Linked DNA regions of Saccharomyces cerevisiae S288C. The gene in region 2 interacts genetically with the main gene of each other region. Each region holds a gene or a part of one and is shown on either strand. Other genes may lie near its edges. The genes, in order: ABZ2, PHO12 and GPI12.

What was found.
Region 1: mutations in PHO12 (region 2) and ABZ2 together harm fitness more than expected from each alone (negative genetic interaction), as found in Saccharomyces cerevisiae (one large-scale study listed by BioGRID).
Region 3: mutations in PHO12 (region 2) and GPI12 together harm fitness more than expected from each alone (negative genetic interaction), as found in Saccharomyces cerevisiae (one large-scale study listed by BioGRID).

What each region holds. Positions count from the first base shown.
Region 1 is NC_001145.3:846,389-850,579, reverse strand, and holds ABZ2 (aminodeoxychorismate lyase ABZ2), read right to left. Parts: upstream 1,896-4,191; coding exon 771-1,895; downstream 1-770. Other genes in the region: ATP-dependent RNA helicase HAS1, read left to right, coding at 1-506; U2 snRNP complex subunit HSH155, read right to left, coding at 2,094-4,191. UniProt on the Saccharomyces cerevisiae protein: Converts 4-amino-4-deoxychorismate into 4-aminobenzoate (PABA) and pyruvate.
Region 2 is NC_001140.6:549,833-554,325, forward strand, and holds PHO12 (acid phosphatase PHO12), read left to right. Parts: upstream 1-2,266; coding exon 2,267-3,670; downstream 3,671-4,493. Other genes in the region: YHR214C-D (uncharacterized protein), read right to left, coding at 816-1,109; YHR214C-E (uncharacterized protein), read right to left, coding at 1,368-1,667.
Region 3 is NC_001145.3:830,313-834,424, reverse strand, and holds GPI12 (N-acetylglucosaminylphosphatidylinositol deacetylase), read right to left. Parts: upstream 2,087-4,112; coding exon 1,172-2,086; downstream 1-1,171. Other genes in the region: AEP2 (Aep2p), read left to right, coding at 1-1,069; DNA-binding transcription factor CAT8, read left to right, coding at 3,096-4,112. UniProt on the Saccharomyces cerevisiae protein: Involved in the second step of GPI biosynthesis. De-N-acetylation of N-acetylglucosaminyl-phosphatidylinositol.

The DNA.
Region 1 (4,191 bases), on a different chromosome or scaffold from region 2:
CGGAAAGAGGTATCTTGATTTGTACAGATGTCGCAGCTAGAGGGCTAGATATCCCTGCTGTGGACTGGATCATTCAATTCGACCCTCCTGATGATCCAAGAGATTATATTCATAGAGTCGGAAGAACCGCAAGAGGCACTAAAGGTAAGGGTAAATCTTTAATGTTTTTAACACCTAATGAATTAGGGTTTTTAAGATATCTAAAGGCTTCCAAGGTCCCATTAAATGAGTACGAATTCCCGGAAAACAAAATTGCAAACGTTCAATCACAATTAGAAAAATTAATTAAATCCAACTATTATCTACATCAAACAGCCAAGGATGGTTATAGATCTTATTTACAAGCGTACGCTTCCCACTCTTTGAAAACTGTCTATCAAATCGATAAGCTGGATTTAGCCAAAGTAGCAAAGTCTTACGGTTTTCCAGTCCCTCCAAAGGTTAACATTACAATTGGTGCCAGTGGAAAAACGCCAAATACCAAAAGACGTAAAACTCATAAGTAATTTCAGAGGATCAATTTTTAATGCTATTAATGTGTACGTGGAACCAACACAACCGAAGTATTCATCTTCTGTTCTCATCGCACTCCTTTTCCTTTCTCTGCTTCTCCACTGTATGTCATTTAAATAAATGTATAAACCGCTGTTTTCTGTTTGTTGTCTTCTACGTACGTTGTCTGTATCAACCTGCACATATTTGAGTATGTAAAATCATGATTTGTAAACTATTGTAAAAAAACTTCATTGATATGAAAATCTGTCGTCTGCTCAATATTTTGTCTTCACTGTTCCCTTTATGCATCCCATGACGCCATTGAAAAGCAAAACTTCGTTGCCAACGGTAAGGCTTCCTATATCTATATCTCCCTCTTCAATAAGGCCGAGCCGCAATAAATAATGACGCATTGTTCCGCACAAACATCCAGTTGCTAATCTTGGTGTCACATACTTTTTAGAACCGTTAGGATCTTTTTGAATTACAGCCACGTTTGTTATTGAACCTTCCATCAGCAGGCCAGATTTGTTGGAAAATAAAATTTCGCATTGCGAGACAGAAGAAGTAGGTTCTGAACCTCTTAAGTTATTTATAGCAGTTTGCATGCGAACTCTCGCCCTAGCGTAATGATCTCTTGAAGTGGTTTTAAAACTGGTGAAAGCTGATGCGTTCAATGGTTCAGATGAAACAACAACATCCCAATTTATTGTGCTATCAATTAAAAATCCATTGAGCATCGTTTTGATGAAGTATGTGGAAACACTGTCATAATCGGTTGTTAATTTTAGGATAGGCTCCATAGGCATTGGAATTGCCTCAATTCGTATATCTCCTGTCTTAGAGACAAGTACCCGCATTTTATAGCATTGCCTTTCGTTGATCATTTTTTGAATTTTTTCGTGATACTCTGAATTTCCTTCTTTACAATTAATCAAGTTTTCAACCAATAACTTCAATAAATCATTCAGAGACGTGCTGAAGTCAATTTTAAAGTATGATAATGCTATTCTTATTCTTTGGTATTGTTCATCTAATAAAAAAAATCGTTCATAAATGACTTGTAGCATATCTTCTACACGCTGGCACACAATGGTCTTGCAATCATGCTTCCAAGCATCAGGATGCTGAATATTTTCGAGAAGGTCACCGCCGGAATTAACCTCCCTTACTCGTAAATAACTTGAGTAATCCTCATTAATTATCTGCTGCCTAATATCTTCGTCTCTCAAACCTAATCGAGGGTCTGGAGTTTCAAAGATCTCTTTCTTTGACGCTGACTGGCGTGCAAAACCAGGGTCGTACCTGAAAGTGGCCAGAACCTCGAAGTTCGGATTAGCAACTAGGCCTCCTTCATCGTAACTTTCCATATCAGTCTTCCAATTGTCCATTAGTGACATCTATTTCTTATTATCCATGTCTCGCTCTTCATCTTTCTTTTACTCACTTTCACAAAATTTTTTCCTGCCCTTTTTTTTCCAATAGCAGGTTCTGTTTATATTTCATCATAATCTATGAAGGCATCGTGACGTGATGATATAGGTGTGTCAAGTAAAATATTCTTACAAGTTGTGGTTATTTATATGCTCTATATATATTCACAGAACTAAATCCAGTTCTTCTATATATTCTTCATTGTTGTCTGGTGTAACGGGGTAAAAAGGTACCATGGCGTCCTGGTACATTACGTACATGTTATTATACACCCTCCAAAATGCTTTCCTTACATTCTTCGCTGGATGGAACAATCCTGCCCATATGTAGTTCATGAATAGTCCAGGGCCAAGAGCTTGACTCAGTGCCTCCAAACCTTCTAAAATACGCATAATAGCATGTGGTGAAGTTTCAAAAATATTGGGTATTAGAAGATTCATTAAATGAATGAAGGCATCTTCGTGACCTGTACCTGAACAGTTTAAAGCTAAGTGGGTTATTACGTTCGACGCTGTCTGACGATGAACTAAATCCCTATCGGTGAGTGCATCTTCTAATAATGGTGTTATGAAGTATATGTAATCCTTAGACATGTTACCAATGTACTCAAACATGAATGACATGGCCTTGAGAACACCGTTTTGAACATTAGTCTCTGGTGTTGTGTATTCATTCATGATTACTGGCAGCACGTTGTAAGGACCACACACTTTAGCAACGATACCGATAGCAACAGCCGTGCATACACGTAACTGACGTTCTTGAACCTTTAAATTGTTCAATAACGCAACAAGAACATCGTGAGGTCCAATTGCTTCAGCAATGAATCCAAACGTGGCATTTGCTGATCTTCTTATTTCTTTATTTGTACTTTTCAAAAGTTCTAATAGTTCAAAACATATTCTCATCCATTCTTTAGGAGGTGCATAGGTAGGTGCTAATTTACCAATAAGTCCAACAAATTTGATAGTGTTTACTTCGACTTTTCTATGCTTGTTTCTTAAAATTGGAGTTAAGGTTGGTAAAATTTGATTAATAGGAGGTTGTAGTTTATCCAAATCCATTACGCTAGTAATACAGTACATAGCGTTGATTATAGAACCTAATACCTCTGGATATACTTCGCCTAAGGATTCATACAATATAATGTTCAATTTATTCAACATTTCGAATTCGTGACAGTTCTTGATGACTGGTATTAGTATGGCACATAGATCTGCTGCATGTTGACGAACCAAGGGAGTTTTATGCTTTAAATGATTTAAAATCGTACTCACAATGGGTGCTAAAAACGGTTTCATACGGATGTCAAGTGACACCGTCACTGCCCCAAACCCTTTAAAGATTATAGAATCACTATTTGTTTGTTCTTGAAATGCTATCAAGAGCGCATCAATAAGCCTCGTTTCTAATCTCTCATCTAAATCTGCTGTCCCTAATAAGTTTACTGTTCTAGTAACAGCATGGACAGCCATTGTTCTGAACGGCTCAGCTTCATCTCTCAATGGTGTTAATAATTTATCAATGGTATAAGAACAACCTAATTTCTTTGCTAATGTAACAGTAGTATATGTAACAACTTTGTTTAATGGTCTATCCAATGCCACTCGTCTGACCCAAAATTTTTGAAAGAATTCTGGCGCGATTTCTTCTCTCAGAAATTTTGGCGTTATGGATTCTACAGCGCTACATTTTTGTAATACTAAAAGAATGGTCTTTTTCATTTCATCATCGGGAGAGTCGAATTCACGTCTAATTATTCTCATTGCTTCTGTGGTATAATAACCGGCATACTCTGGGTCCATCAATGGGATCATAGATCCAACAGCTTTTAAAAAAGAAGATAGCACTTTACCACGATGACTTCTTATACCCTTCCATAATGGCTCCAGTACAACGTTGAAAACTTCGATACCATATGGATAAGAATTTTCTGCTAGTGTTGATAAAGTATGTGCTGTAACAATTCGCACCGGAACGTGATCATCCATTAGGCAGTCTTTGATACAACTCATCAGCCCAGTAAGATGATTCAAGACACCTATTCCCAAAAGTATACCTATTTGCTGCACAATTTTTATGCCAGTATGCCTTGCTTTCCAAGACTTCCGTGAGTGGCATGCTGCATTGATGAAAGGAAGCAATTGATTAACACCAAGGGCTTTTGCCACCACAGCCGCCGCTCTTGAAGTTACATTTCTAACATACTCATCCTCATTCTCAATATCAGGTCTCATTACTGTTAGAATGGTTTTTAGGCCA
Region 2 (4,493 bases):
TTCGTGGGTTTCTTTGAATCTATTAGCCGACATAAGAATAATGCATAAATAATATTTTTAATGTCTTCCTATGCCCAAAAGAAGAAGTCTTGAAGTTGCCGCACATGGAAATCACATGACCATGGCTTGGCCCTTCGTTTTAAATGCAACATGCAATATGGAATGTGTCATGAATACTATCAGCAGGAACAGAAAGCGTCGTTTTGTTTCTGCAAATGCTGTAGTTTTGGGCCGAAAATAGATGTAGTAGAATATATAGTGAAACGTGATGTACAAAAGAAAAAGGTAGTTTAAAAAAAATTAGATAACTTGGATTTTTACCCTGAATATTGCATGTGATTCGTAAAGAACTGAGTTACCTCAAACGGACCTCCCTTTTCATTTCGTATTCCGCGAATCATGAAGTCATGCAATTACCTCTGAAGAGCTGACTGTCCCAAAAGAAGCTATCGAATCTGTCCTTGATTTATTTAAGCCTTGCGTTTCGAGAAAGTGAAAACCAATTGAATACAAAATAAAAAAAAAAGAAGAAAGAAATAGCAGGTCTAAGATATATAAGAAAGTTAATATCATTTTTGAACATTTTATTTTAGACGCCTTCAGCCGCGCGACGCCCGGAGTAATCATATGCCCATGACTTTACCAAAAGGCAACAGGGAGGAACATGCATTAATGTGAAGCATCACTGCTGCAATTCTCGGTGTTGCTAATAATTCATGGATCGAGAAAGAGACATAACATTTAGGCCAATTTTTTGAATAAATATGAACTCAGCTAAGACTCGACAATACAATTTTCTTATACTAAACGTAGATTTATAAAATAAACACAACTGTAAGGGCAATGCAACCGTAGATGCATATATCATTTATAGAAATTATATCCAACAGAAAGCTCAGACTTATATCCGGTTTAAGAGAGAAATTCTTGCTCATATTACCCCAAGACCAGGTGGCGTGTTGAAGTTTATAACATATAAGAACTACTACCTCATGAATTCTAGTGGATGAAAGAAGCAGCACGAACACCATTTCTACAGACAACGACACATGGAAAGGTTCACCATTCCCAAAGAAAACAACGATGGCCACAAGGGTGTGGTCCTCCATTCTCCTACTGTTGGAAGGAGATATTATCCGACCGACTGTTTTGTGATATGGCAAACTATTTTTTTAAATGAGCAAAATTACTTCTTTTGGCTGGAAATGTCATTAGAAAGTGCCCAAGTGACATTTAGCTAAACTCGGGTATTGTCTACAAGACCGGTGCTGTGACCGTTTCCAATACGGAAAGAAACGGTACTGGGAGCAGGAGTTGCTTTTACAGATATGAACAATGCCAATAGAGCCGCACATGTAATTACTGGTTCACACTCGTGGGGCCCACACGATTCCTGTGCAAAGTTTGACAAGAGGATGGAGTTTCACGTAAATGCTGCCAAAGGTGATGCGGTTTTGTTTTTGGGCAGCCTCTACCATGTTGCAAGTGCGAACCATACTGTGGCCACATAGATTACAAAAAAAGTCCAGGATATCTTGCAAACCTAGCTTGTTTTGTAAACGACATTGAAAAAAGCGTATTAAGGTGAGAAAATCAAGATTATCTAAGCCGATGAAAAATGAAAGGTATGATTTCAGCCACAAATATATAGTAGTTATTTTATACATCAAGATGAGAAAATAAAGGGATTTTTTCGTTCTTTTATCATTTTCTCTTTCTCACTTCCGACTACTTCTTATATCTACTTTCATCGTTTCATTCATCGTGGGTGTCTAATAAAGTTTTAATGACAGAGATAACCTTGATAAGCTTTTTCTTATACGCTGTGTCACGTATTTATTAAATTACCACGTTTTCGCATAACATTCTGTAGTTCATGTGTACTAAAAAAAAAAAAAAAAAAAGGAAATAGGAAGGAAAGAGTAAAAAGTTAATAGAAAACAGAACACATCCCTAAACGAAGCCGCACAATCTTGGCGTTCACACGTGGGTTTAAAAAGGCAAATTACACAGAATTTCAGACCCTGTTTACCGGAGAGATTCCATATTCCGCACGTCACATTGCCAAATTGGTCATCTCACCAGATATGTTATACCCGTTTTGGAATGAGCATAAACAGCGTCGAATTGCCAAGTAAAACGTATATAAGCTCTTACATTTCGATAGATTCAAGCTCAGTTTCGCCTTGGTTGTAAAGTAGGAAGAAGAAGAAGAAGAAGAGGAACAACAACAGCAAAGAGAGCAAGAACATCATCAGAAATACCAATGTTGAAGTCAGCCGTTTATTCAATTTTAGCCGCTTCTTTGGTTAATGCAGGTACCATACCCCTCGGAAAGTTATCTGACATTGACAAAATCGGAACTCAAACGGAAATTTTCCCATTTTTGGGTGGTTCTGGGCCATACTACTCTTTCCCTGGTGATTATGGTATTTCTCGTGATTTGCCGGAAAGTTGTGAAATGAAGCAAGTGCAAATGGTTGGTAGACACGGTGAAAGATACCCCACTGTCAGCAAAGCCAAAAGTATCATGACAACGTGGTACAAATTGAGTAACTATACCGGTCAATTCAGCGGAGCATTGTCTTTCTTGAACGATGACTACGAATTTTTCATTCGTGACACCAAAAACCTAGAAATGGAAACCACACTTGCCAATTCGGTCAATGTTTTGAACCCATATACCGGTGAGATGAATGCTAAGAGACACGCTCGTGATTTCTTGGCGCAATATGGCTACATGGTCGAAAACCAAACCAGTTTTGCCGTTTTTACGTCTAACTCGAACAGATGTCATGATACTGCCCAGTATTTCATTGACGGTTTGGGTGATAAATTCAACATATCCTTGCAAACCATCAGTGAAGCCGAGTCTGCTGGTGCCAATACTCTGAGTGCCCACCATTCGTGTCCTGCTTGGGACGATGATGTCAACGATGACATTTTGAAAAAATATGATACCAAATATTTGAGTGGTATTGCCAAGAGATTAAACAAGGAAAACAAGGGTTTGAATCTGACTTCAAGTGATGCAAACACTTTTTTTGCATGGTGTGCATATGAAATAAACGCTAGAGGTTACAGTGACATCTGTAACATCTTCACCAAAGATGAATTGGTCCGTTTCTCCTACGGCCAAGACTTGGAAACTTATTATCAAACGGGACCAGGCTATGACGTCGTCAGATCCGTCGGTGCCAACTTGTTCAACGCTTCAGTGAAACTACTAAAGGAAAGTGAGGTCCAGGACCAAAAGGTTTGGTTGAGTTTCACCCACGATACCGATATTCTGAACTATTTGACCACTATCGGCATAATCGATGACCAAAATAACTTGACCGCCGAACATGTTCCATTCATGGAAAACACTTTCCACAGATCCTGGTACGTTCCACAAGGTGCTCGTGTTTACACTGAAAAGTTCCAGTGTTCCAATGACACCTATGTTAGATACGTCATCAACGATGCTGTCGTTCCAATTGAAACCTGTTCTACTGGTCCAGGGTTCTCTTGTGAAATAAATGACTTCTACGGCTATGCTGAAAAGAGAGTAGCCGGTACTGACTTCCTAAAGGTCTGTAACGTCAGCAGCGTCAGTAACTCTACTGAATTGACCTTTTTCTGGGACTGGAATACCAAGCACTACAACGACACTTTATTAAAACAGTAAATAGACCTAATATGATTTATGTAATTTTAGAAACTAAATATGAATGCTAATTTTTTTCTTATTTTGACTTTTGCTTGCGAGAAGTACCAAGTTGGAACAACAAACACAGTCCAAAGAGGGAAATACAAAGGCACAGTACGCAATTACTTTATTATTCTTTAGCAAGACGAAGATAGTATGAATATACGTGTAAGGCATATGCAAAGCCATGATTTTATACCATAGACATGACATGCGGGTTACATGAGGTGGTAAAATGTTTTAAGATAGCGTCCAGGGCAAGTACATGAAATGTCGTTTAGAGATGATGCAAGAGTAGGGTTATGATGTGAAAGAATAGGGCAATTAATTAACAGAGCGGATGTTGTAGGATGATATAGTGACACATAATATATAAATGATCGGTTGAGCGCGATATTATATAAGAACATCCATATGAGTATATATCCTACCGTGTCTGTTCTCTACAGTGCTTCTTTTATTCAAAATTATTGGTTTTCGTAACCGCCGCGCAGGCACGCCGCGCATCTCTTTTTCTCGAAGAAAGCGGAAAAATAAAAACGAAAAAATAAAAAAAAAAAAAAGTATAAATAGTGAAGACTTTTTCCATTTGATATTTGGTAAAAATTTCGGCTGGAAGTTTTTTGCTGAACATTTAACCGGAGAATCTTGGTGGCTTTTTCTCAGTTTCGTGGGCTTATACATTTTACCTAGTATGCTGGGAACCTTTTTTTCCGTATTCTATTCTATTCCTTGCCTTACTTTTCTTATTATTTTCTATATAACCAATTTCAATAATACTTTTTAACTGTCATAAACGCAT
Region 3 (4,112 bases), on a different chromosome or scaffold from region 2:
TATTCTTGATAGAAATCCTGATATATTACTGTCTCCGAAAAATGCAGATATTAGCACAATAGTTCACTTTTTACAACTGCGTTGTGGCGCTTTGGCGCCTTATTGGAAAATACCAGATAATAGTGAGCAAAAACAAGGTTTTTTAAGAAAAATGGTTCGACTAGGTGCGAAAAATACGTCAATTCGTCTTTCTTCTACTTACAAAGCCATGGATCACCAAACATTATTAAAGATTGCTGATCTTGCTCTGCAGGAGAAAAAGCTTTTGAATTCCGAGGATTTGTTGTCCACTTTAATTCAATCCTTTGGACACCTAGGCCAAACCCAAATATTGGAACGGTGTATTGAACATATATGGCAAATATCACCCCAAGAGTTTCCTAGTCACGTAGTAATTAAGCACCGAGGGTGCTATCCTAGTTCCAAAATACTCGTTTCAATCTTAGTGTCATTCTACTTTAATGACCACGATCTTCACAGAGGCCTAAGTATTTTGGATTCATTCATAAAGCACTATCCGGACGTGAAATTGGATGCGCTATTTTGGAGAAGGCTGTTTCAGCTAAGTCATTTTGCTTGGACACCAGCAAACGACAAGAAAGCCACTTCTGTTGTTAGATGTTGGCATTTAATGAAGCAGTGGTATGCATCTAAGCGGCTAAGGCCTTCAGTTGATTATGAGACGTTGAGACAACTGTACGATATCATGAAGAAAACAGGCAATTTCCCGCTTGGAATTGATGTTTTAAGGAGTTTCAAACCGGGGATCGAAAGAACGAGAGCAGAAAATGCTGGAAAAGTTAACAATATCATTATCAAATACCAAAAATGTATTATTAAGGAGCTTGTAAATAGAGGTAGATTTTCAGCGGTAAGGGAATTCATTGATAGTTATGGTTTTGATAGAAAAATGACCAAAGATTTGAATATTTTTTGTGCGAATCGTATGTTTCTAAGAAGTAAGAAAATGAAAAACAAGATTGAGAACAAAAAGGAAAGGGAGAAAGTGCGGCTAGATAGTTTCGATGACGATGAAGATGATGGTATGATTATAGGTAGCCTTTGGTAAGAAAAGTGTAAGTAGAATTAGCATTTATTTTTCTCCATATTCTTATTCTATAGGATGTAAATAATATGGGACTTTTTTATATATATATCTACAGTGTAGAGTCTAATATGTATAAACATCAAATTCATTAACGAAGACAAATCTGGAAAATATCCACCATCCGTATCTAAACCACACAACTTGGGATTCGTGAGCATTTAGCATAGTGGCAAACGCTAGTACGTATTGTGCATGTGTATTCATAAGTGAAAGCTTGTCTTTTTCGGCGGCTGTGTTAGGCGGAAGCGCCTGAATTATTCTACGGAATGGAGAAATCAGGTCGTAAAGTATTTTTAGGATTTCCCAAATAAAGGAGTTGTACTTTAAAACGATGTTGTTCTTGTAGCTTCTCAAATAAAGCGCAGTGACATGAGGTGGTTGTTCATTTCTTTTGGTCTTAGGTTGAGCATAATCATCCACCAACTTTTTAACGGCAGCATAACAGCTTTTGTGGTTGATATGATTTGATACACCATATGAATCAAAGGTAACGATAATCTGGTTCAAGTTATGATTCTTTATATCTATCTTTTGTGAAAGAGAAGAAGTTATAGAATCAATATCCCATATTTCGTCCATACCATCCTGGAAATCCATCACCTGTACGGAGACTGCTCTTTCATTGTGTAGCAATAAAGCGGCCGACTCATTTAATTCTCTTACCCTGGTTTCGCCAAGACCTTCGGCGTTGCCCTTTGATAAGCAGATTATGTTAAATGGGACGGTTCTCGGAAAGTACGAATTCAGTTGAGAAATTATGGGGGAAAAAAACATAACTTCGTCGTCAGGGTGCGCTATGACCAAATTGATTTCATAATCGCCATATTTATGAGGAAAAATATGCTGCAATGATGCATTGTTTCGGGAGACGATTTTGGGCGTAAAATAAATATATAGGATCGTCAGTACTATTGCTAGTTTAGTAATCTTGTAAAGCAATTTTGAAAAATTTACCTTTGTACGCCTCAACATCTTCATTTAACTTTTCTTCAGGGTTTGAAAGAATCTAATATACGGCTCTAGCGTCACCTATCTACACTTAACAATTCGATAAATAAGGAGGGCAATGCAAGATTATAAATAAAAGCGCAGCGTCGATTTTCCTTTTTCTATGACGTTAACGTAACTAGTAAACCTTCTAGAAGGGACGACTCCAATGAGATAGAAACGGCGAAGCGGGAATTTAGGAGTACTTGTTACCCGGCTACTAGTTTATTTCATACAAACACATTGACACATTCGCACATATACATCTACGAGAAATTACTGAATGTGAAAAGGATCAGAGGCAGTTAAAAGAGGTAACAACTTTTATCATCAGATTGTGATACGACTTATACTATTGAATGTGTATGATTACACAACTTTCCTTCTGCAGAACATTTTTACATCTGTTAAGATGGTGCAACATTTCTTTTTATTAGCACATTACTTTTGATGAAAGAGTATATTCAGTTATCGTAGCTCCTCTCACTTCTTTCTATCCGGTGTTTATTCGCGATATGAGTTGTGATATCAGAGACAGAGAGAGTTTATGTGCGTAACAGGAACGGAGAAAACCAGAGTAATTGAGTATTATAAGCAATAAATCATAAAAAGACATTCTTTCTCGTGCAATTTTTTGGTATTCGGGATAATCTTCTACTTGAAACTTCTTTTTTTCGGTGTTTAATTTGCCTATTGGTAAATATTTTTGCCGCCGAGGTTCTCAGTGATTATATTCGTATTAAGCGATAACCGAGACATGCATGGAGCGGCGGGGCTGATATTTTGTGGGGTACGAAAGCATGATTGGTCAGTGACACTCAAAAAAAGAAAACAGCCGTAAAATAGTAGATTTTGTTAAACTCCCCTTTAAACCTGTGATATTGTAAAAAGACGAAGAATTTAATAATTTAATAATTCATTACGGTATTTATTTCTTCATAAACAGTTACAACACCCTAAAGAGAATTTACAAGTTGAGTAAAAGACAAGACACAAAATTATGGCAAATAATAATTCTGATCGACAAGGTTTGGAACCCAGAGTCATTAGAACTCTGGGTTCACAAGCGCTTAGCGGTCCTAGCATATCTAATAGAACTTCAAGTTCGGAGGCAAACCCTCATTTTTCCAAGAACGTGAAGGAAGCAATGATCAAGACAGCTTCTCCGACTCCTTTATCTACACCTATTTACAGGATAGCTCAAGCTTGTGACAGGTGTCGATCTAAGAAAACAAGGTGCGATGGAAAAAGACCACAGTGTTCGCAGTGTGCTGCTGTCGGATTTGAATGCAGAATAAGCGATAAATTACTGAGGAAAGCGTATCCAAAAGGGTACACAGAAAGCCTGGAAGAAAGAGTACGCGAACTGGAGGCAGAGAATAAGCGTTTGCTAGCTTTGTGTGATATCAAAGAACAGCAAATAAGCCTTGTTTCACAGTCGCGACCACAGACATCAACGGATAATACCATAAATGGCAATTTCAAACATGATTTGAAAGATGCTCCATTGAATCTGTCTTCTACAAATATCTATTTATTAAATCAAACGGTTAATAAGCAGCTACAAAATGGCAAAATGGATGGTGATAATAGCGGTTCTGCAATGAGTCCATTGGGGGCACCACCTCCACCGCCACACAAAGACCATCTTTGTGACGGCGTTTCCTGTACAAATCATTTACACGTCAAGCCTACTTCTACGAGTTTAAACGATCCAACCGCTATATCTTTTGAACAGGACGAGGCACCTGGTCTTCCTGCGGTAAAGGCATTAAAATCAATGACGACTCATCAACGTAGCACTCAATTGGCAACTTTAGTTTCTTTATCCATCCCAAGATCTACTGAAGAAATTCTGTTTATTCCTCAGCTTTTAACTAGGATAAGACAAATATTTGGTTTCAACTCAAAGCAATGTTTGTATACGGTTTCATTATTATCTTCATTGAAAAATAGATTGCCAGCACCACGGCTTCTAGCACCTTCAACATCAACCAAGTTAAAGGAGAAAGATGAA